Linked DNA regions of Coturnix japonica. The main gene of each other region encodes a partner of the protein of the gene in region 4 in a complex. Links are inferred from orthologs where the notes say so. Each region holds a gene or a part of one and is shown on either strand. Other genes may lie near its edges. The genes, in order: TUBGCP5, NME7, MZT1, TUBGCP3 and TUBGCP2.

Region 1 (3,513 bases), about 6.8 Mb from region 4:
ACTGTCCAAAACAATTTCCCTGTTTTCAGTGGGTGTTCAACAATGCTGCTGGTTTAAAATAGGTGTTCCAAAGTTTCACTCGTGACCATCTTAGATTTCCCCTTTTTTGTTATGTATTTTCTTGAGGTTTCAGTTGTTGTAGGAAAAACAATAAAAATTTTAGAAGAAAATTACTGCTTTTACTTATATGGCAAAACATTGGTAATTAGAAATGCTAACCATGTTACTTTCTTACCTATAATCCTTCTTTAAAGTTTGCATTAGATTACCACAGCACTCCAAGTATTGCTTGTCTATGTGAGGATAAAGGCAAGACCTCAGCGTCAGTTCAAAAGTCTGGCAGGTGACCGATTCTGAGGATCTGTCCACACAAACATCCCCACCAGTAAACTTCTCGTGGAAGTCGCTCTGCTCCAAATATAATCTTAAAAATTACATAAAATACAAATACTTAGGGAAGAATACATATAATTTACACAATATATAGAAGAAAAATGTCATACCTTAGAAAATTTTAATCAAAATTGGAACCCCTGCTCAAAAAATAGGATCACAAAATAAAAGGTGTTTGCACCTATTTTCTATACTAACCAATGTAAGCAGCCAATTCCTCGCTGATTTGTTTTTCCTCTAACTAAGCAGGAGGGTATTTATTGAGATTCTGCCACTGATTATGGGTGCTCCTCTTTATTCTATTTGCTTGTTTTCTGCAGCAGCAATAAAAATCAGCTTTACCAAATGTCACTAAGCAGAACACTGCTCTCAACAACACAGCAGGAAGATCATTCATCTAGTGGGTATTTACTTACCTGGCAAAATTAATAGCCAGCAGAGGGTCATGGACATCATCCAGTTCCAAGTGCCTTTCTGCTATAGACTGCATCTTTATCAGGCTCTCCTTGGTGGCCTGCTGCTCTGTAATAATATCTGGAACAGATTCTTCCCCATGCCTCAGGCGAGACTGCACAGATTCCAGGAACAGTGTATACAGACTCTTTCTTTCAGCATCTAAACTGGGCAACATGTTTCATGGTAAGGTTTCATCGTAAGAGAAAGTATCACCTGAACTACAAGCGCAGCTGCAGAATCCAACATACACTTAACATATTTTAGACTAAATTTAGGCTACTTCTCAAGTACATACTTAGAACAAAATATCACTGGATCAGTGTGTTTAGTCTAATACTTCAAGTCAGGCACTGCTAATCAGAGCCTGTAAGAGAACTTCTTCAAACATAAAGGCAATTAATTCTCAACGCCTAAAACAACCATGTTACAGAGGGAAACAAACCTGTAGAGATGCCAACATAATTCAGCTATCCCTATTAACCCCATAGAGATGGTGTGACTGAAAAAGCACGTTTCATCTCCTCCAGAAAAAATTAACATTGATTACACTGCTACACTGTGGTTTACAACCATTCAAATAGTAACCTGGCTATAGATATGCATAAAAATGTCAGTATAAGTTTCATCTAATTATTTGGTAAACTTCTTTTTGTTGAAGAAGTTCTGTAAGCTACCTCGAAATTACTCAACCACTTGATAAGGAAAAACAACTATTTATTAGATCAAAACACGGTTTTACTGTTTATTATCACTATCTGTGTTTGTCTAATAACAAATGAAATGTTTTGAAAGCATGTAAAAAAAAAGTTCATGAAAATATGAAGCATCAAGACCTGAGTCAAGTACCTGAGTGAGTACTTGATCATTGATCATTGATCATTGTTCGCTTTGTTCCTGTCACTTGACTGCATTGGAAGAATAAGTTTTCCATCAGAACTGGAGTTACAAACCACGATACTGACATATAAAGAGGACAATTAAACTGCTCTGTAATCACAAACACCATTATATAAAATATTCCCATGCTGTTAGGTACCCTAGGGCACAATACTCCACCAACTGACAGCTCACCCCTGGATGCAGCCTGCTGTGGAGAGCCGTCTTTGCATTGAAGATTCTTTAACAGCTGCATGGATTTTCCAGCCATGATGATTTGCTTTAGCACAGGTTTCAGAAAAGAGACCATAGTGTGTTGCCTGCTTGAAGGGGCCTGATCACTGCCAGAACTGGCGCTGGCATTATCACTCATCTTCTCTTCATTCTCTGTCTTTTCTGACACACTATATAACGTGTAGGTAGCATACCAAAAATCTCTGTGATCAACTGGAACGTTTTTGTTCCTGTCAAGTAGGGGGAAAAAAAAAATAAAAGGTGTTAAATATTTCCCTTTTTAAAAGGTGAAACTTCCTTAGCAGAAGGTTTATCTTCATAGAATCATAGAATTACCCAGGTTGGAAAAGACCTTGAAGATCATCAAGTCCAACCGCAGCCTTACCATAGTACCCTAACTCTAACAACCCTACACTAAATCATATCCCTGAGCACCACATCAAAACGGCTCTTAAACAAAACCAGGGATGGTGATTCAACCACCTCCCTGGGGAGCCTATTCCAGTACCTAACTACCGTTTCTGTAAAGAAGTTCTTCCTAATATCCAACCTAAACTTGCCCTGACGCAACCTGAGGCCATTTCCCCTCGTCCTGTCACTTGTCACTAGTGAGAAGAGACCTGCCCCTCTCTTCATCTTTGCTCTATGCTTTGCCTTTCTTTCAGAACAGTCAAGAAGTACTTTCAAACTATGAGTGTCCAGCACCAGTGCCCCTACCTCTGAATGATGAATTCCTTCGCAGGATCAAACAAATTGCCGTGGACAATCCACTCATCTACTGTCTGTAAGTACGGCCTCACAGTCTCAACCCAGAGAGAGAACAGAAGGGACACCTGAATTTAAAGAAAGAAAAAAATTAAGTAAGAATTAAGTAAAAAATCAGCTTTTTAAGTATTACAAGCAACATGGCAGAGTCTAACTGATTAATTGCATGATAGTAAGTTAATACTTAGCTATACTTCAAGACTTTTCAAAGATAAAATATTCAACTAAAAATTACAGGACTAGCGGTATTAACGGAGACGTGCATTGTGCAAGTTTCCCCTTATTACTTCTGTCATTGCAATTAGACCCAAACAGCAACTTTCATTACTCTGACATCCTTTAAATGATAACTGATAGCTGTAACACACCGTGGCTTTATAGTGCAGAAAACGTGAAAAAAAGGACACAGTGACATCTATGACATTATCACTAATGCTCATCTCCTTGTGAATCTTGTATGTAGTCTGAATGAACTCATCAGAAAACAGTAATTCATTATGGCTACCAGATTTGTCCTCAGTTGCTGAAGGACAGTGTACTCAGGCAGTAGAATGAAATCTATGTTACCAAATATTCTAGAGTGTGATTTCATTAAGGAGGAATGATTTTGCCTACCGTTTGCTCAGATGCTTCTCCAACACTGTCATATTCAAGAATAGCTTTGTAAAGAGTGTTAAGCAGATGAGATGCTCGGACAACATTTCTAGTGTCAGGTGGCACTTCCGCTACTCCTGTGCTAAAAACCTTGTGAAGAACCTTCAGCTGTGCCAGGCGGGGAGACAGCTTATC
Region 2 (3,513 bases), about 49 Mb from region 4:
ACTGTTTTGCTGTTTTGTTGTCCACAAGTGGGGAGAAAGGGAAAGTAAGTTGCTTATTTTTTTTATACCACACAGTCTCCTACCAGCAATTTTACCTGAAGGGAAGCTCATTAGTTGCTATAGCACCTACTCTAATTGAGCTACAGAAGATGTTGCTGGCACAAACAGATGGTCTCAGGTATCACCAAACACAGTTACTAATAGCTGTTAGAAGACAGATAAGATGAGCAGGGCCACATTCACATGAATGGGTCACCCAGATTCTTTCAGCATGCTTCTACCTGACTCCAAAACAATCTCTATGGGGAAGAAGGACCAAGCATAGCAGGTGTTGCCACTCTGCAACAGACTAAAGAGGAGAACAAGAGTAAGGACTACAGAAGGAGGCAAAGATAACCAAATCTTTCTCCCTGTGACACTCTTGGACTGCTGGGAAGAGTTCCTGCAGCCTTTGTGAAGATGGATTTCACTCGTTTCTAACTGTTGGCTGGAACCACTCCAGCTTTTTTGCAATTTTGAACAATTAAGGACACTAACAATCCTATCACAAAGAAGTCTGCCTGAAGTCTCCTATTTCAGGTGTGAAAGGTCTGGAAACCTATGGCCATTTCTTCTGCTGTCTCCATCTTAGTTGTCCATAGAGACATGACTAGTGTGCTGCATCTGACCAAGAAAAGTCTAGACATGCTCACTTGACAATATTTATTTCACACTCAGAAATATTGTTGAGATGCCAGAACTGAAATATTTTACTGCGCTTACTACTGCTCTTACACATGCTCCTGTTTCTAAGTACATGTTACAAAAGCAAGGTTATTTCAGCAGGGTAACAATTGGGCATTACACTTGTCTAATGCTCATACAGTAAACTTGCAGGATATGCTCCAGCACAGAAAGAACTATGGAGTCCTACAAATGTTTACTACTTTCCATCCCCACAGCAATCAGCAGAACAAGATTCATGTATGGGAAAAAAATGTCCCTTTGTAAGAAGTTCTAATGTAATATGTTACTGCGTAAATGGAAGACCTTGTAACACAACCAGGTGTCCTGCTTTCACCCTGCCATGAGGAAGCTAACCTCCACTAGAGTGTTGTAGACAGATAGGAGTAAGGATACAGTTATCACAGCTTAAATGAGATTAAATTAATCTCATTTATAATTTTTTGTATTTCTTTTTCCAGTCTCTTACTGTTTATTCTGAAATTAAAATTATCCACACAGCACACAACCCATGAAAGTAAATTGAAGAAATACTAAAGGTGTATGGAAAAGGATTTGCATACTCTTGCAAGTACAATTAAATACTCTGTGTTCCTACTATTTCACATTTTCACACACACAAAAAAAAAAAGCATAAGAATGACCATGAAACAGAACAAAGCATAATTTTCTTTTACCTCCACTATTCATATTCCTTACCTTCATTAACTGCATGAGGCTTAATAATGCAGCAAGTACAGTTTGTGAACTTTGCGCTGTTGGCTGGTCCGTGACCTCCACTGGAGGGAAAGAAGAACTCCAGCTCCTGAAAACAATTGTAATTGAATTCACTTTAGTTTTTATCTAGCTGCATGCATAAGCTTCCATCCTAAGTAACGACATCTGAAGTACTCATAGTTACAGAAAACTATTGATTTTTGTGCTACAAATACATCTCCCCTACAATATTCTACACATCTTTCCAACCCTGGCAACACTGCTGCCATCATAAAAACTTCATTTGAATATTTCTTGTAATTTCCCTTTCTGCTTTCACAATACAATCTATTTCCATTCAGCCACAATCATTTGGCAGATGAAGTATCCCCAGATTTCTAAATTCCCTTTCCTCAGTATTTTTCCCAGGTCTACTTCCATGTACAGATTTTTAGCTTCTCTCTTTTCACAACATGTTTTCCTCCACTTAAGCAATAACACAATGAGCACCCAGCTTTCCCTGATACAAAAACCAATCTCCATCCCACTCATTTACAACCTTTTTTTCCCCCTTTTGTATTAAAAAACCTTCGCCTAAAATTGTTGGCTCCACTCTCATGACTTATGGACTCCTACCCCTCTTTTCTTTTTTCCCCCCTTCAGCCTTAGTGAATGGAAGATGGGCTCAGTTACCCTAATTTCTGAGAAGAATCAGAAGAACCTCTTTGCCTCTTTGTTTCCCATTACTTCCTTTCCTCCTTCCATCACTATTTGGTCTTAGACCACAGTAAGCTGGACACACAAGCTTCTTTCCTCAGTGATTTTATTTATTTATTTTTATTGCTCACTGCCAGCTTCATGCTTTTTCCATACCATTTATTCACATAGCTTACACAATCTGCCAATAAACATTAGTCAAATGCTCGAAATGCAGATTCCATTTAAGACCTATTGGTCAAATTAAGTAAGAGAATTGATGAATTTCTATTTAAGGGAAATAATAATAACCTGGAGATACTTCTACCAAATCCATCTAATTTTTTTTTTTCATGTGTAACACTAACAGCGCTGAAGGCCATTTCCTGGCATTGTCTCATTTAATTTACTAGCTCAGTTCAGACAGAATAAACTTAACTATTTCTCAATCTTCTCCTCACTTTATTCTGGCAATTCCTGTAATCCTGACTTGAACAATTACACAGTTCTCACTCAGGGATCATTCAACAGGAAGGAAGGCGAAGTGTTTTTGTTTTCTGTGTTTTTTCCCACCTAGCAAACAATGCCCATCTTGAGTGCTCATGAGTGTTAGTTTCCTGCACCCTTCTTCTGAGGACATGCTGCATCCCTCTTTGACCTTGTCCCATTCTGTTAACTAATGTTCACTCTAAAAGCAGTAGCCAGGAAAAGTTAGCAAGGTACTTAAAGCATCTAACACTTTCTTTGGTCCATTAAATGCCAGAAGAGAAAAGTGTCTAAATAATGCTGAAGGATAATGAAATGCTAAACAAAATTCAAGTGATGTTTTAAAAAGAAAGTATTTTTTATTTATGCCTAATATGAAAAAAAAAAAATTAAAAATGGTCCTGCAGAAAGAGAAATAACCTTAGAAGTACACCAGAGGCCTACTTTCATTTGTCACTGCAATGTCCTGTTCTAACTGCAACCAACTAGTTTCCAGCTGCTATACAAATATATAGTTCTGCACCTACTACATTAAAGTAGGTAGAGGCCTATTAAATTCACAATTTCAGTTATCTTACCAGAGATGGGTATTGGTAACACCACAAGGATGCCTACATCTGCCAAAGTTCAGCAATATAATAATGTTGGTCATAAAAATACCACAGATGAGCAGAGCCTTCAAACTGCTGAAATGTAAAAAGAGCTACCAACTTAAACCAAAGCAAATAATTAAATTTATAGTCAGAATCTTACGTTAATAGATACTGTCTCCTACACTCTCAGGCAAAAAGCTGGCACAACAGTAACTGCAGCACACAAACGAAGAGAAACCTCCCCATTTGAGCACAAAGACATTGGTCAACTGCCAGAATTAAAGACTTTTCTGACTGAAATTCTCCTTTATAAAAATTC
Region 3 (4,044 bases), about 16 Mb from region 4:
TTTTTCTAGGATACATTTATTGTCAATCTTTCCATACAGTAGATTCTTTAATACTTTTGAAAACATTACACACAGTATTCAGAAGTTTTAACACAGATTCTACACCTTTCTGGAGTGATTTCTTGGCCAGAGTAATAGGAAATAAAAGATATTTATCATGTTTTCTAAAGCTGTGACCCAGATAGAGTAATGTGTGATGTAAACTCAAAAGAACTTTTCCGTCCGCACAAAAGATGAACCTTGAATCTTTATTACGTGTGCTTCCCCTGTCAGCCTGCTTTGGGTTCTATTAACACCACTACTTAGAAAACAGTCTAACAAAAAATTGGAAAAGCTAAAACAGCAGCAGAGGACAAACACAAGAAAATTTTCTTCCTATGAAGAAGCATAACTCCTGGATGCAAAAGATTCACTGAATGATAATTTGTTCAGTAGCTTAATGCATACACTAGAAAGATTTGTTTTTGCATCAGTGGATATTGTTTGTGCTGAAGGAGAAGACTCCCCTACACCAAGTGACTGTTTAACACAACTAAATCAGCCCCTACTTGTAAGATGCTTTGACTAGTAATTAACAATATATGCTTAATATTTTCAGGTTGAGTGTTCAGAACATACGCAAACAGCATTTGATATTCCACGTTATCTACATGTCAAATTTACATACATCCAAATTCCTTTCTAAAACAAGTTAAAAACTCTTTTTCCAACAGAATTAGAAGGACAAGTCATTATCTTGATAATCAAAAGTGCTTTATTTCTTACTTTCAGAACATGACTTAAGTCATTTAAGTCATCATCTGTACTCTAATTAAAATCAGCTCAATAGGGACTTCTTTCCTACCTTTACCACAGATAAAAGCATCCACATATTTTCACACTAGTACAACAGGAATAAACAGAACACAATAGCACTTCTAAAGAATGCGTTAACAAGCCATATTCGTGATAACATTCACTGTTACACACTAGTAATTTCAGCAAACCTTCAATCTCTGACACTGTTTAAAAATCCTACATGCTGAAGGGCAGTTACACTAAAATTCACCCCTGGTTCATAAAAATAACCAAGTATTCAAGTGTGGTAAGATTACTGGTGGGCCTATTTAAGAAAACCCAACTTTAAGCTCTTCCATACATTGCCTTTTTCAAGATGACTTAGAGATACTCTGAAACCTCCAGATATAATTTGACTTCGTATTTCTAAGTAGCAGCCAATGTTCAAATTCTTTATCAGCTCTACAACTTCGAACTCTTCTCATGAAGAAGGATTCTATCACATCAGCTTGTCATATTTTCAGCAGCCTAGGGAAAAAAAAAAATTTGTCACCAAAAGCAGACATCATTTATGTTGTAGATTTGAAGCCCAGATATGAGATAAAAAGAGAAATGAAAGCAACACAAGTAAGACATAAAAAATAGAAAAGAAATAGAACATCCCTCAACAATGTATATGCACAATTAAGCTTGTGTACACACATTTAAGCACATACACAAATAAAAAATACACACAAGTATAGAAGAGTTTGAAATTATAAAAAAATAAAATAAAAATTTAAATTATGCAAAAAAAAAGTCTGATTGTAAAATCTGAAAGCTGAGTTCTTTAAGAATCAGAACATAGCCTTCAAAAACAGATAAATAAACAACATAAGATGTAGTGGAGAAGGAATCATGATGGTTAGGTAGACAGCAAAGCATCAAAATCCTTTAAAGGGCAAATGAGAATTTTTTAACTATAGTTATTTTCCCTATTAACCAAATAGTTACATGTGGCTTTTTATACTTTAGTACTTACAATGCACACACACCATGAAATGCTGTGATTTGTCTTTGGAGAGACGTAAAGCACAGGTTAATGAGGTGACAGCAATGTGTGGAGACTGTTAGCCACAACAGCTTCATGAACTTGTTCACAAGTGTTGCTACAGAAAGGGTAGTCAGGCATTGGAATGCACTGCCAGGGAGGTGGTGGAGTCACCAACCATGGGAGTGTTCAAGAAACATTTGGATGTTGTGTTGATGAATATGATTTAGCTGGGAAGTATTGGTAATGGTTGGACTGGATGATCTTCTAGGTCTTTTTCCAACCTTGATAATTCTGTGATACATACTATGAGGCCTGAGGGTGTATAAGGAGCTGATATGGGCTGAAGAAGAAAGCTACAGTCCAGTCAGGACATGAAGCAGATAAAGGGAAATAGTGGCTGAAAGCACCAAGAAGAGAAATCTGTTTTGTTGATTTTTTTCTTAATTTTAAAGGAAAAGAAGCACAGCAAATTGAACCAAAGATTTGATTCTTTTAAAACCGTGTGCTTTTTAGGGAATGGCATTACCTTTAGAGCTTCTGTAGCCTTACGCAGTTCTTTAATGACAGAAGACAGTGCTTCTGGGTTGATGCCTTGCTCACAAAGCCGCACACAAATAGACAAGGTCTCCATATCCAACCCAGTATTTAATATTCTTGAAATCTCAAACAGAACTGCAAGGAAAAAGAAAGCAAATTAGCCCCAACAGCGATCAAAGAAGTTATTAATCAAAGCTGAATTTCTACTGTACAGCATGGAAGTGGCAGTTATGGAACCTCAAGCAAACCAATGTATCTACAAACAAGTGCCGCATCCCCAACCCCACTGGCCCCTCCCGCCCCTCCCTCGTACCGTCCATCGTCTCCCTCACGGCGTTGAGGCTGGCGGCATTGCTCGCCATGGCGACCGCCCACCCGGAAGCAGAAGGAGCGACCCCAACCTCACGTGATTCCGGGACTCCGCACCAGGCCCAAGCGGAACCTCCCGCTCACAGCAGGAAGGTGGGGGGCGGGCTAACGTTCGAATTTGTGCAGCGGCTCTGCATGCGATTGGCCCGTTCGTGAGCGGAGGGGAGCCTACGATTGGTTCGCCGGCGGCTGCGGCGCGCGTTGATTGGGCAGAATTCGGGAAGGGGCGGGAGGTGGTTAAAGAGCCGCCCGGCTCGGCGGAGGCGGGCAGTTTTAATTGGAGTCGGGTATGAGTGCGCGTCGCGGCAGCGGGGCTTCGGTAGCTGGGCCTGAGGAGTGGGGGGGTGGTGGCGTGGTGGCGGCCCTTGGTACAGCTGTCCCGTGAATACGTGGCTTTAGGCCTCTGCTGCTCGCTGTGTGCGTTCCTCGGCCTGTGAGGAGCGGGGAGCCGCCTCGCTGTGGGGCTGACAACTCCTCTGAGGCCCCGCCGTTCGGTACGGGAGCACCTGGCACGAACGCGATTGGTTTCCTCCATGCTGGTTTCCAGTACCTCGTTTCCTTTGGCTTTGCTTTCTAGGCTCCGTCTTTGTACCAGCCTCGTTTATCTGCTTCTCACTGGTCCAAGCCAAAATCTGCTTTGCCGTTATGAGTTTTCTGTCTCTTCTGAATGACCGGTCATGGGTTGAAATTCTTAGAATGACCCTAACGAGTCAGAATGGTAATTTCCTCCCCTCACATTTCCTTCTGTTTCTCTTCCCCAGGCACAGCTTCACTGCTATGGGCGATACAGAAGAAGCCCAAATGCAGATCAGCCCCGAAACTCCTGGGCGGGTCACAGTTCTGAATCCTTTCGAAAGCCCCAGCGATTATTGCACCCTTCAGGAGCAGATTGTCTCCAGTCCTTCCGTCTTCAAATCAACAAAATCTTCATCTGTAAGAGCTCATTTTCTGTTCTATGTAGTGCCGACACATAAAAACACGTAACACAGTGTATTTACTTGATTTAATGTATGCAAACCCAAAGAACTTGGGGTGTTTTGTGGTTCTTTCATTTACCTCAGTAAGCTTCTTTTAATGCTAACGCTGTAATTTGGTCTTCGCACCTTGATAATGAGATTAAAAAGACAGTGTTTTGTTAGATCGTTTTTCTAAGTGCTACTTGCTCACTATTTTGTACTGAAGTGCTACTTCAATGGATGAGACTGCTTTGTTCCCAAACTGGATCTTATGATCTATGCCTGACAGTGCCCTTTGTGGCCTGCTTCTAGACTGTCCTCTGTCTCCTTTGAAATGTAAAGTAAAAGGAAGGTTGCTGTATTATTTCGATA
Region 4 (3,513 bases):
TAATGATCTGAGGACTATCTAAAACAACTCTAGAATATCAAAAGAATTTGAGTGTGCTTTCAGTTTCTTCACGTGTTTATTACACTACCTGCGAACCGAGCTTTCTGTAGAGTTCTGAAAACAAAGCAGCATCTGCTTCCCTTCTTTGTCGCACAACTGAAAGAGATAAATGTAGATTAAAAGAACTAGAACAAGAATAATAGTCATGTTAGAAACTATACATTTTGTGTTAAATAGGAAAACATAACCAAGAAAGCATTATGATGCTCAACTGTTTTGCATTACTTACTCAAGACTTCTGAGAGTTTTTTCACACTTACTTGTATTCCCAGCCTCAACAGTTCTTGCAGGGGATATGACCCAATGTAAACAGTAACCATTTCTCTTATAGCAACAAAGGAAGTGTATACTGTAGAATACAGGGTTTTACAGCTGTATCTAGAGAAATTCTAGATGGGCTTATTTGTCAGTTAGTAAGTAATGGAAACCTTGCATTAGCAAAAAATACACAAGTACTTTAAAAGGTTACAATTCAGTGATTCTAATTCAATCATCCTGACCAAATGTTCAGAGTTCCTGAGCACAAATAGAAGCTTTAATTTAATCAGGAACTGCTCCTGAACATCCTACCGTTGAGCTGAGAGTCTGCTGAAAGCATTACTTGGCTTTTTAAGAATGCCTCATAGTCCAATGGGATTAAGAGCTCAGCACCTGACTCAGAGCAGCACAGAGCAGAGTGGAACATAACTGCAGTAACTTACTGTCACGGTCTAATGTTTTGGCTCTGGGAAGGCTGTTGTAAATAAACGTTTATGAAAACAGAAGCCGAGAAATATCAGGTAATCCGCATGAACAATGATTCCATCCATCCCCAGAATGCTCATTCATTAAGATTCACATATGTGCTCATGAAGTTAATTGTGCCAAAGTGTAGCTCAAAAACATCAGTCTTCCAAAATGAAGTATGTATTTATGAAGTCTGAATAATAACAAAATGAATGAAATGTAAATTGCTCTTTATTTCCATGGTGGCTAAGATGGGAAGTCAATGGCTTGCACAGAAGCAAGGGAAATTTAAACTAAGCATCTGAGCTCAGGAGGAGTAACTAGGGGATTCGTAGAATTGCCATCACAAGATTTTCAGGAACAGGCAATAAGAGCAGTAATCAGTATTAGGTAAATGTGGCAGAACAGTTCCACCTTCAGAGGAATAAACAGAAACACACGTACGTTCTTTCTTGATTTTCTCCGCCACAAGAAATTCATCCCGTTCGACAGTAGGAGCAAAGTTGCTTCCAATAACTCTCACTGCATACTGGAACTGCTGGGCTACATCAGCTGAAAAAACAAAGGGAAACCCACTCAATTAAGCAGACTGATAAAGTACTATTAAAAGAAGGAGAAAAAAAAACCCACAAGATTACATAGCTGTGACTGAATTTGGCATAAACGTACTCAGCTTTGATCAGATTCTGTTATATTCCTCAGATACACTTCTAACCAGAGGGCAGTGAAGTCTATGCTATCCTGGGGGGGAGATTAACAATACTTCAAACACACCTGTACAGACTCTGCTAATTAAACATATGCAATAAATACTTCCTGTGCTTTGCTGGTTGAAGAGACACTTTGGCCTGATGCTATTAGAGAGCATCAGCAAACTTCAAGAGGCTCTGCAACGCCCTACAGCCTGAAAAGCTATGCAGGACTTGCCGCAGTCACGCAATTCAGCTTGCACACAGGAAACACTGCTGTGATTGTTCCTAAGGAAAATAATGTTTAGAAATTAACTTTTACATCCACCTCCATTATCCTCTCTTAGCACCTTTTACATTAAAAAAAAAGAAAAACAACATTAAAAACAATTCCCTGAGGTCTCCATGAGGGGGCTGGCAGAACAAACCTCCAAATAACCTTGCCTGAGGAGGGTCAGAGTGCAGCATAAGCTCAGCAGTTAAGCATTCTCCCTGGTCTGCCAGCACAGCTTTAGCAGTATTAGGCACCACCTCCTGCCCAGACTGCAGCCAGAGTGCATAAACGAACAGATATGGAGGATGAAAGATCCCAGAGATTTCTGAAAGGAGTTTTGGAGATTTAAACTTAAGTCCTCAGGCTAATGAAAACACAATAGATATGCTATCAACAGTAAGAAGTAAAGGGGGGTGGGGGGTGTTCCTTTAATAGGGAACAGAGCTTCCCTATTAAAGAATTCCCTAACTTTCTATGTCAACATTAGCTATAGCAAGACTAATTAAAGCACAGACACCTAGCTAAGTGTTTCTAAAATGTCCTAACGAGGCATTTGAGAAAGGTCTCAAGTCAAAAACTTACAATCCCATTAAAGAATGCTGCAGATTAACCCTGCTACGTGACTAACAGTATGTTTCGAAGAAATCCACTCTTTACACCATAGAATCACAGAATGGCTCGTGTTGGAAGGGACCTCAAGGATCATCAAGCCCCAACCCCTCCATCAGAGACAGGGCCATCAACCTCCATGTTTAACACTAGACGACATTTAATACTAACACACATAGAGATTTGCACTGGAAATCACATAACTTCACCACCTGTAGTGCTTAAATGTAATATAATTCAGATATCTGTCAGTGGAATAATCTCATCATTTACAACTAGTAGACATGTTTAATTGCCTCAAAGATCATTAAGATGGCAGGCAAGTGTAAAATACATAACTGTGTGTCTGTATGTGTACACGCTTTCCCATCAGAAAGTGATTCAGTATGACTCTCTCACCCCAGAGCAGAGCAAGCTATCAATAATTCAATATCTACCATCTACCCAACCATTTGCACTTCCCTACAAACAACACGGCATTCAAGATGAATTACAGCCAAAGGCAGATATAAGGCTTATCCCACCCAAAAGGTGGCCCAGCTCCGGTGCTTTTACCCTAATGCACACAGCATGCGTAATAAACAGGAGCTGGATGCCACTGTGTGGTCAGAAAGCTATGATACAGTCACTAGCAGGGAAATCACAGTATCACACAGAATCAGTCTCATGCAGGTTGGAAGAGACCTTAGAGATCATCGAGTCCAACCCCCGGGATTCGAGCCTCCTGTGTAGCAGAGCGGCACTTCCACCACTTGCGCCACAGGGGATTCGAACCCAAGGCCTCCAGTGTTGCAAGGCGGCATTCCTACCACTGCGCCACCAGTGGCGGGATGACTTGCACAGCTGGAGTGATATGATCGATGGCTACCAACGTTTCAAAAGAACTAAGCAAGGCAGGAAATACAGTGGTGTAGCTCTCTGTGTTAAGAAAGAATGCAAATGTGTGGAAATTAACAACGGTGATGATAGGATTGAGAGCTTACAGGTCAGAATAAAAGTAAAGGCCAATAAGACTGATATTATCATGGGAGTCTGCAATAGGCCACCCAACAAGGAAGATGTGGAAAAGACACTTCATAGGCAGTTGGGTGAGGTCTCAAGGTCTCTTCCCCTTGTTCCTGGGGGGACTTGAACTTCCCAGATATCTGCTGGAAT
Region 5 (4,201 bases), on a different chromosome or scaffold from region 4:
GTTTCTGTTGGATGGACCACGCTGGCATCTCAAACTCAAAGTACAAGCATCCCTTTGCCAACTGGGATAGTTCAAGAAAGAACATGACGTTCTTAGAGGCCATTAAAGTGATCAATAAATGATTCAGGTGCTGCCTCAGTGACCTTTTGATCAGAAACTTTTGCCTGTGCAGGCATTTGGCTCAGACCTGGATTTATAGAGGCGTTTCTCTGGTACTGAAGGGCTGGCTGCAGGCTCTGTGCTCTCCATGGGTACTTCCATATGGTCCGTCTCGAGCTGCTCCGAGGTCTCCATGCTGACATCCATCAGCATGCTCCCATCATCTGTGGGACAGCTCACATGCTTGGTACCACTGCAGAAAGAAAACGTGACATCCATTCTCAGCAGCTGAAACGCGAGCAAGGAGCAAAGAAAATGAAAGGGATTTTAGAGGACTCTAGAAAGGAATGGGACAGCAGAGAAGCACATCACTTGAGCATGGAAAAAGCAGCTGTGCTGCTGCCATTCTGCAGTTACCTCTTCACTTTCTTTGGTCTATCAAATCGGAAGTCAGCAGGGTATAAGTGAGCAGTGACCAAGTGATCCTTCCTGTCTTTGCTGCACTTGAACTTCTCTGCACAGCCTTCTACCAAGCACTTGTACTGAAAGAAAGGAAAGAAAACACCCCCTGGGAAGGGTGAACAGCCAGTCCGTGTGGCAGCAGGGGCCGGGCCATGCCCTCACCATATTCTGCTTCTCAGCCATGATCTGGAAGAGCGAGTCGTGCCACTCGGAGATGTGGATGTCCAGAAGGTGCCCTGAAGGGAACGACCGCCTGCAGAAGGAGCAGACGTTGCGGTGCAGCACGTTGTAATGGTGCTCGTAGCCCTCAAGTGTATCGAACACCTGGGAGCAACCGGAGATGTGACAGCAGAACTCAGACACCCTGTAAGGGAAGGACAGCACATTAGTGCATCCTCAGCGTGTAGTATATTATACGTTTAAGCCTTATTACAAGGCTCTGCCCCAGATGCTCGGGTCCCTGTGAGCTCGCAGGGGGCCCAGCAGCTCCGTGTGCAGGGCAGGGTCTCAGTGGGGGCTCATCTCTTGTCCCATGCAGCTCACCTGGGCCTCTCCGCCTCCTCGGCGCGGCCCGTGAGCGCCTCCCGCAGGTACAGGTGTCTGTGCACGTCTCCATCCTGCAGCGGGGGGACATGGCAGTCATGGAGCAGCCTGGCCAACGGGCCGCCCGCCCCGCTTGGCTCGGCCTCACCTCGAGCAGGGGGTGCTGCGGGTCCAGGCGCAGGCGGCGCGGGCAGAAGGCGAAGGGAGCCCGCGGCGGGGCCGAGGCGGGCGGCGGGGCGGGGGGCAGCGGCGGGCGGTCCCGCAGGCGGCGGCGGAGAACGGAGAGCAGCATCGGACCGGACCGGGCCGCGCAGGCGCCCGTAGCACTTCCTGCGGCAACGGCGGCGGCTTCCGGGCGGGTAGGAGGGATGGAGCGGGATGGGGACGGAGAGGAGCCGCGGGACGGCGGGGTGTGGGGCGGCTGGATTCGTTCTGTGCGTCTGCTCTGGGTTCTGTGTGCGGGGAGCCGCTTAGAACCAGCCCGGTGTCGTCGTTTGTAACGCTGTGGTTCCGATCCGGACAGCAGGCCGCGCTGAATGCAGCCGGTCGGGTCGGCGCTCCACACTGAGGCCTCCCATAGTGTCTGGAAGGCAAAGAAGAGCTGCTGCCCACGCTTAGGCCTGGTCTGTAGCAGGGCAGTAGCGTGCAGGGTGAGGGGCTTGTCTTACAACTCCCATAAGTTTCTTTGTGCCCATCCAGCACACCCTATGGGCTTATAGTGCAGCGTTATTCTTGTGCTTACACCAAAGCACTAACGTAGCTCACTGCCTTTCTTCCTGTATCCAATGTTAGGTTGGATTTCATTCGCGCCATGAGTGAGTTCCGCATCCACCACGATGTCAACGAGCTGCTCAGCCTGCTGCGTGTGCACGGGGGTGAGGGGGCCGAGGTGTACATCGACCTGCTGCAGAAGAACCGCACGCCCTACGTCACCACCTCCGTGTCTGCTCACAGTGCTAAGGTGGGCCAGAGTAATGGCATTGCATTGGTCCCTCGCGGAGTTATCCATCCATCAGCTGAACATGAGCCAGCGTAGGTGACCATGAAGGCCGGTGGCATCCTGACTTGTATCAGAAACAGTGTAGTGGGCAGGATCAGGGAGGTAACTGTCCCTCTGTAGTTGACACTGAGGCTGCACCTTAATGCTGTGTTCAGTTTTGGAACCTTCACTACAAGAAAAACATGGACGCCCTGTAGTGTAAGGCAACAGTGCTGTGAGGGGTCTGGAGCACAAGTCTTGTGGAAGCAGCTGAGGGATATGAGATTATTTAGCCTCAAGGAGGCTCAGGGGAGACTTTACTGCTCTATAGCTCCCTGAAAGGAGGTTCTGGGAAGGTAGGTGTTGGTTTCTGCACCCAGATAACAGCAAAAGGTTGAGGTAATGGCTTTAAGTTGTGACAGGGGAAGTTCAGGTTGGGTATTAAGAAGAACTCAGAAGGAGTGATACATTCCAAATCAGTCCATCTTAATTATCAGTGCGAGGCCAGTGCCGCATTGTTCAGTCCAAGACCTATTCCCTGAAGCACTTTGCTGGCAGCAGTGGCCTGCACCTTGTTTCCCTCCTTGCACAATGCTCTGCTCTGGAATGCTGGAATGATAATCTACCTTAAACATTAAATATTCCTGTGGTCTTTTACAGGTAAAAATAGCAGAGTTTTCTAGAACTCCTGAAGACTTTTTAAAGAAATACGATGAACTGAAGTCTAAGAATACAAGACATTTAGATTCTTTGGTGTACCTGCTCTCAAAGCTCACAGAAGACAAAGAGGTTTGTTTCTGTGTTAGAACTGAGCATGTTATAACTCCTTGGTAGTAGCAACAATGCAGTGGTTTTAAATATGCACGCTGTCAGATTATAATATTCATTGGAATACAGCTTTGCTGCAGTGTGTGCTGACCAGTGCTCACAAAATTTCTTTTGTGTGTATACAGACACTCCAGTATTTGCAACAAAATGCTAAAGAAAGGGCGGAACTCACAGCAAACGTGGCAGCTGGTGGCAGCACAAATTTCTCCATCCCCTCATCTACTTCCAAGATTTCTCTGCAGGAACTTGAGGAGCTGCGCAAGCAGCTTGGCACCGTCACAGCCAACTCCAGCGCACAGCAGGTACTGCCCCTCACCTTACATGTGAGATCTTTCCCAGCTGTTGGTATGTAGCTGTGCTCTTAACTTTTGACATCTAGGGGAACTGCAGATATTACTATCCATCTAAATCTGCTCTCAGAATGGTGCTAGTCAAATTATATTAAATCATTGTGCTGTTATTCCAAAAAGTGGCCTTTTTATTGAAGTCAGGTAAGGTCAGGCGAGTTTAGGCCACAGCAGTTCTCACTGGGGCATAGTGACCTTCAATGAGAAGAAAATAAAATGACCCTCTGCAGATCCCATTTCACATACATGTGGAGCTTAAGAAATGGCTTTCATAAGCATGTCCCCTTTTGGCAGCTATGGAAAGCATGGCGCTTTTGGCAATTATGTAGGTTATACATCACCTCTCCAGCTGAAAATTAGTCTTTCACCATAATTATTTTACTGACAGAGATCCAGAGCCATGAGTGGAGACTGTTATGGTCTTGTAAAAGCTCACTTCCTTCACAATCAGAGCAAAACCACTGTCATTTTCCACTGGTGTATTATCTTGATGGCATTTCATGTGCAGCTACTCCACGGGCAGTGTGCTGAAACTGATTTCAGAGGTGGTCATTAGCCTGTTTGCAAGTGCTCCTTGGATAAGATGTTGCTGCTTTCTTCTTCTGGAATTAATTTGTTGGCTTTTACATGGTGGAGTTTGCAAACTAATAAGGTGACTGGAGCTTGTAAGCGTCCCGGTTTTGCTCCTGTGTGTATGCCACAGCACCAAGGCTGGTGGGAGGGGTATGACAAGGCATTATGTGATGCATCTGCCAATAAGAAGATGGCCAACTATATAAAATTCACCTCTGCAGCACTGAGACCAGTAGCCTGAATGAAACCAAGAGAGTACACCTACACTTGTTCTACTGAAATATCAATTATTCCACTTTCTATTCTCAAATTATCGGTTTACAGTCAGTTTCTCCTTCTTCATTCTTCTCTCTTTTTCTTTTTTTTCTCA

What was found.
Region 1: TUBGCP3 (region 4) and TUBGCP5 share a complex: the UniProt entries of both Homo sapiens proteins name them as parts of the gamma-tubulin ring complex. The link is inferred for Coturnix japonica from reciprocal best matches to the Homo sapiens genes TUBGCP3 and TUBGCP5.
Region 2: TUBGCP3 (region 4) and NME7 share a complex: the UniProt entries of both Homo sapiens proteins name them as parts of the gamma-tubulin ring complex. The link is inferred for Coturnix japonica from reciprocal best matches to the Homo sapiens genes TUBGCP3 and NME7.
Region 3: the proteins of TUBGCP3 (region 4) and MZT1 are in contact, whole or in part, in a cryo-EM structure (PDB 7QJD), measured with the Homo sapiens proteins. The link is inferred for Coturnix japonica from reciprocal best matches to the Homo sapiens genes TUBGCP3 and MZT1. Residues at the interface, in NP_006313.1 of Homo sapiens: Lys7, Pro9, Leu12, Leu13, Asn15, Leu16, Cys17, Arg19, Ile20, Leu21, Arg23, Val28, Gln31, Tyr34, Ala35, Val38, Ile39, Asn42, Phe43, Ala44, Pro45, Thr46, Ile58, Leu62, Arg67, Asp70, Phe74, Leu77, Lys80, Leu81; in NP_001065243.1 of Homo sapiens: Asn17, Ala20, Val21, Glu23, Thr24, Val27, Leu28, Glu30, Ile31, Ser32, Arg33, Ile34, Leu35, Asn36, Thr37, Leu39, Asp40, Glu42, Thr43, Ile46, Cys47, Val48, Arg49, Leu50, Cys51, Glu52, Gln53, Gly54, Ile55, Asn56.
Region 5: the proteins of TUBGCP3 (region 4) and TUBGCP2 are in contact, whole or in part, in a cryo-EM structure (PDB 8Q62), measured with the Homo sapiens proteins. The link is inferred for Coturnix japonica from reciprocal best matches to the Homo sapiens genes TUBGCP3 and TUBGCP2. Residues at the interface, in NP_006313.1 of Homo sapiens: Glu272, Asn273, Cys274, Ser286, Leu287, Asp289, Thr290, Val292, Arg293, Glu296, Trp299, Ser361, Thr363, Leu364, Arg365, Leu368, Val369, Tyr372, Lys375, Ile376, Lys379, Ala382, Ala383, Asp386, His387, Ala402, Tyr403, Lys405, Thr406, Gly407; in NP_006650.1 of Homo sapiens: Gln172, His173, Pro175, Ile176, Phe177, Pro178, Trp180, Arg184, Ala186, Leu187, Ile188, Gly189, Phe191, Leu222, Tyr223, Val226, Val228, Asp229, Gly230, Arg231, Glu278, Ser281, Phe283, Gln287, His290, Ala291, Ala294, Arg297, Val300, Lys301.

What each region holds. Positions count from the first base shown.
Region 1 is NC_029516.1:117,464,978-117,468,490, reverse strand, and holds part of TUBGCP5 (gamma-tubulin complex component 5), read right to left. Parts: coding exon 3,340-3,513; intron 2,793-3,339; coding exon 2,677-2,792; intron 2,190-2,676; coding exon 1,921-2,189; intron 1,009-1,920; coding exon 810-1,008; intron 425-809; coding exon 236-424; intron 1-235. UniProt on the Homo sapiens protein: Component of the gamma-tubulin ring complex (gTuRC) which mediates microtubule nucleation.
Region 2 is NC_029516.1:74,987,349-74,990,861, reverse strand, and holds part of NME7 (nucleoside diphosphate kinase 7), read right to left. Parts: intron 1,529-3,513; coding exon 1,423-1,528; intron 1-1,422. UniProt on the Homo sapiens protein: Possesses an intrinsic kinase activity. Displays 3'-5' exonuclease activity with a preference for single-stranded DNA. Does not seem to have nucleoside diphosphate kinase activity.
Region 3 is NC_029516.1:140,208,958-140,213,001, reverse strand, and holds the start of MZT1 (mitotic-spindle organizing protein 1), read right to left. Parts: upstream 2,811-4,044; 5' UTR 2,710-2,810; coding exon 2,661-2,709; intron 2,483-2,660; coding exon 2,337-2,482; intron 1,306-2,336; coding exon 1,282-1,305; 3' UTR 1-1,281. Other genes in the region: BORA (protein aurora borealis), read left to right, coding at 3,494-3,649. UniProt on the Homo sapiens protein: Required for the recruitment and the assembly of the gamma-tubulin ring complex (gTuRC) at the centrosome.
Region 4 is NC_029516.1:124,246,798-124,250,310, reverse strand, and holds part of TUBGCP3 (gamma-tubulin complex component 3), read right to left. Parts: intron 1,339-3,513; coding exon 1,231-1,338; intron 157-1,230; coding exon 89-156; intron 1-88. UniProt on the Homo sapiens protein: Component of the gamma-tubulin ring complex (gTuRC) which mediates microtubule nucleation.
Region 5 is NC_029521.1:5,966,145-5,970,345, forward strand, and holds the start of TUBGCP2 (gamma-tubulin complex component 2), read left to right. Parts: upstream 1-1,396; 5' UTR 1,397-1,463; intron 1,464-1,469; exon of another isoform or gene 1,470-1,754; intron 1,755-1,896; 5' UTR 1,897-1,915; coding exon 1,916-2,065; intron 2,066-2,743; coding exon 2,744-2,872; intron 2,873-3,036; coding exon 3,037-3,213; intron 3,214-4,201. Other genes in the region: ZNF511 (zinc finger protein 511), read right to left, coding at 188-352, 517-641, 724-925, 1,105-1,178, 1,253-1,396. UniProt on the Homo sapiens protein: Component of the gamma-tubulin ring complex (gTuRC) which mediates microtubule nucleation.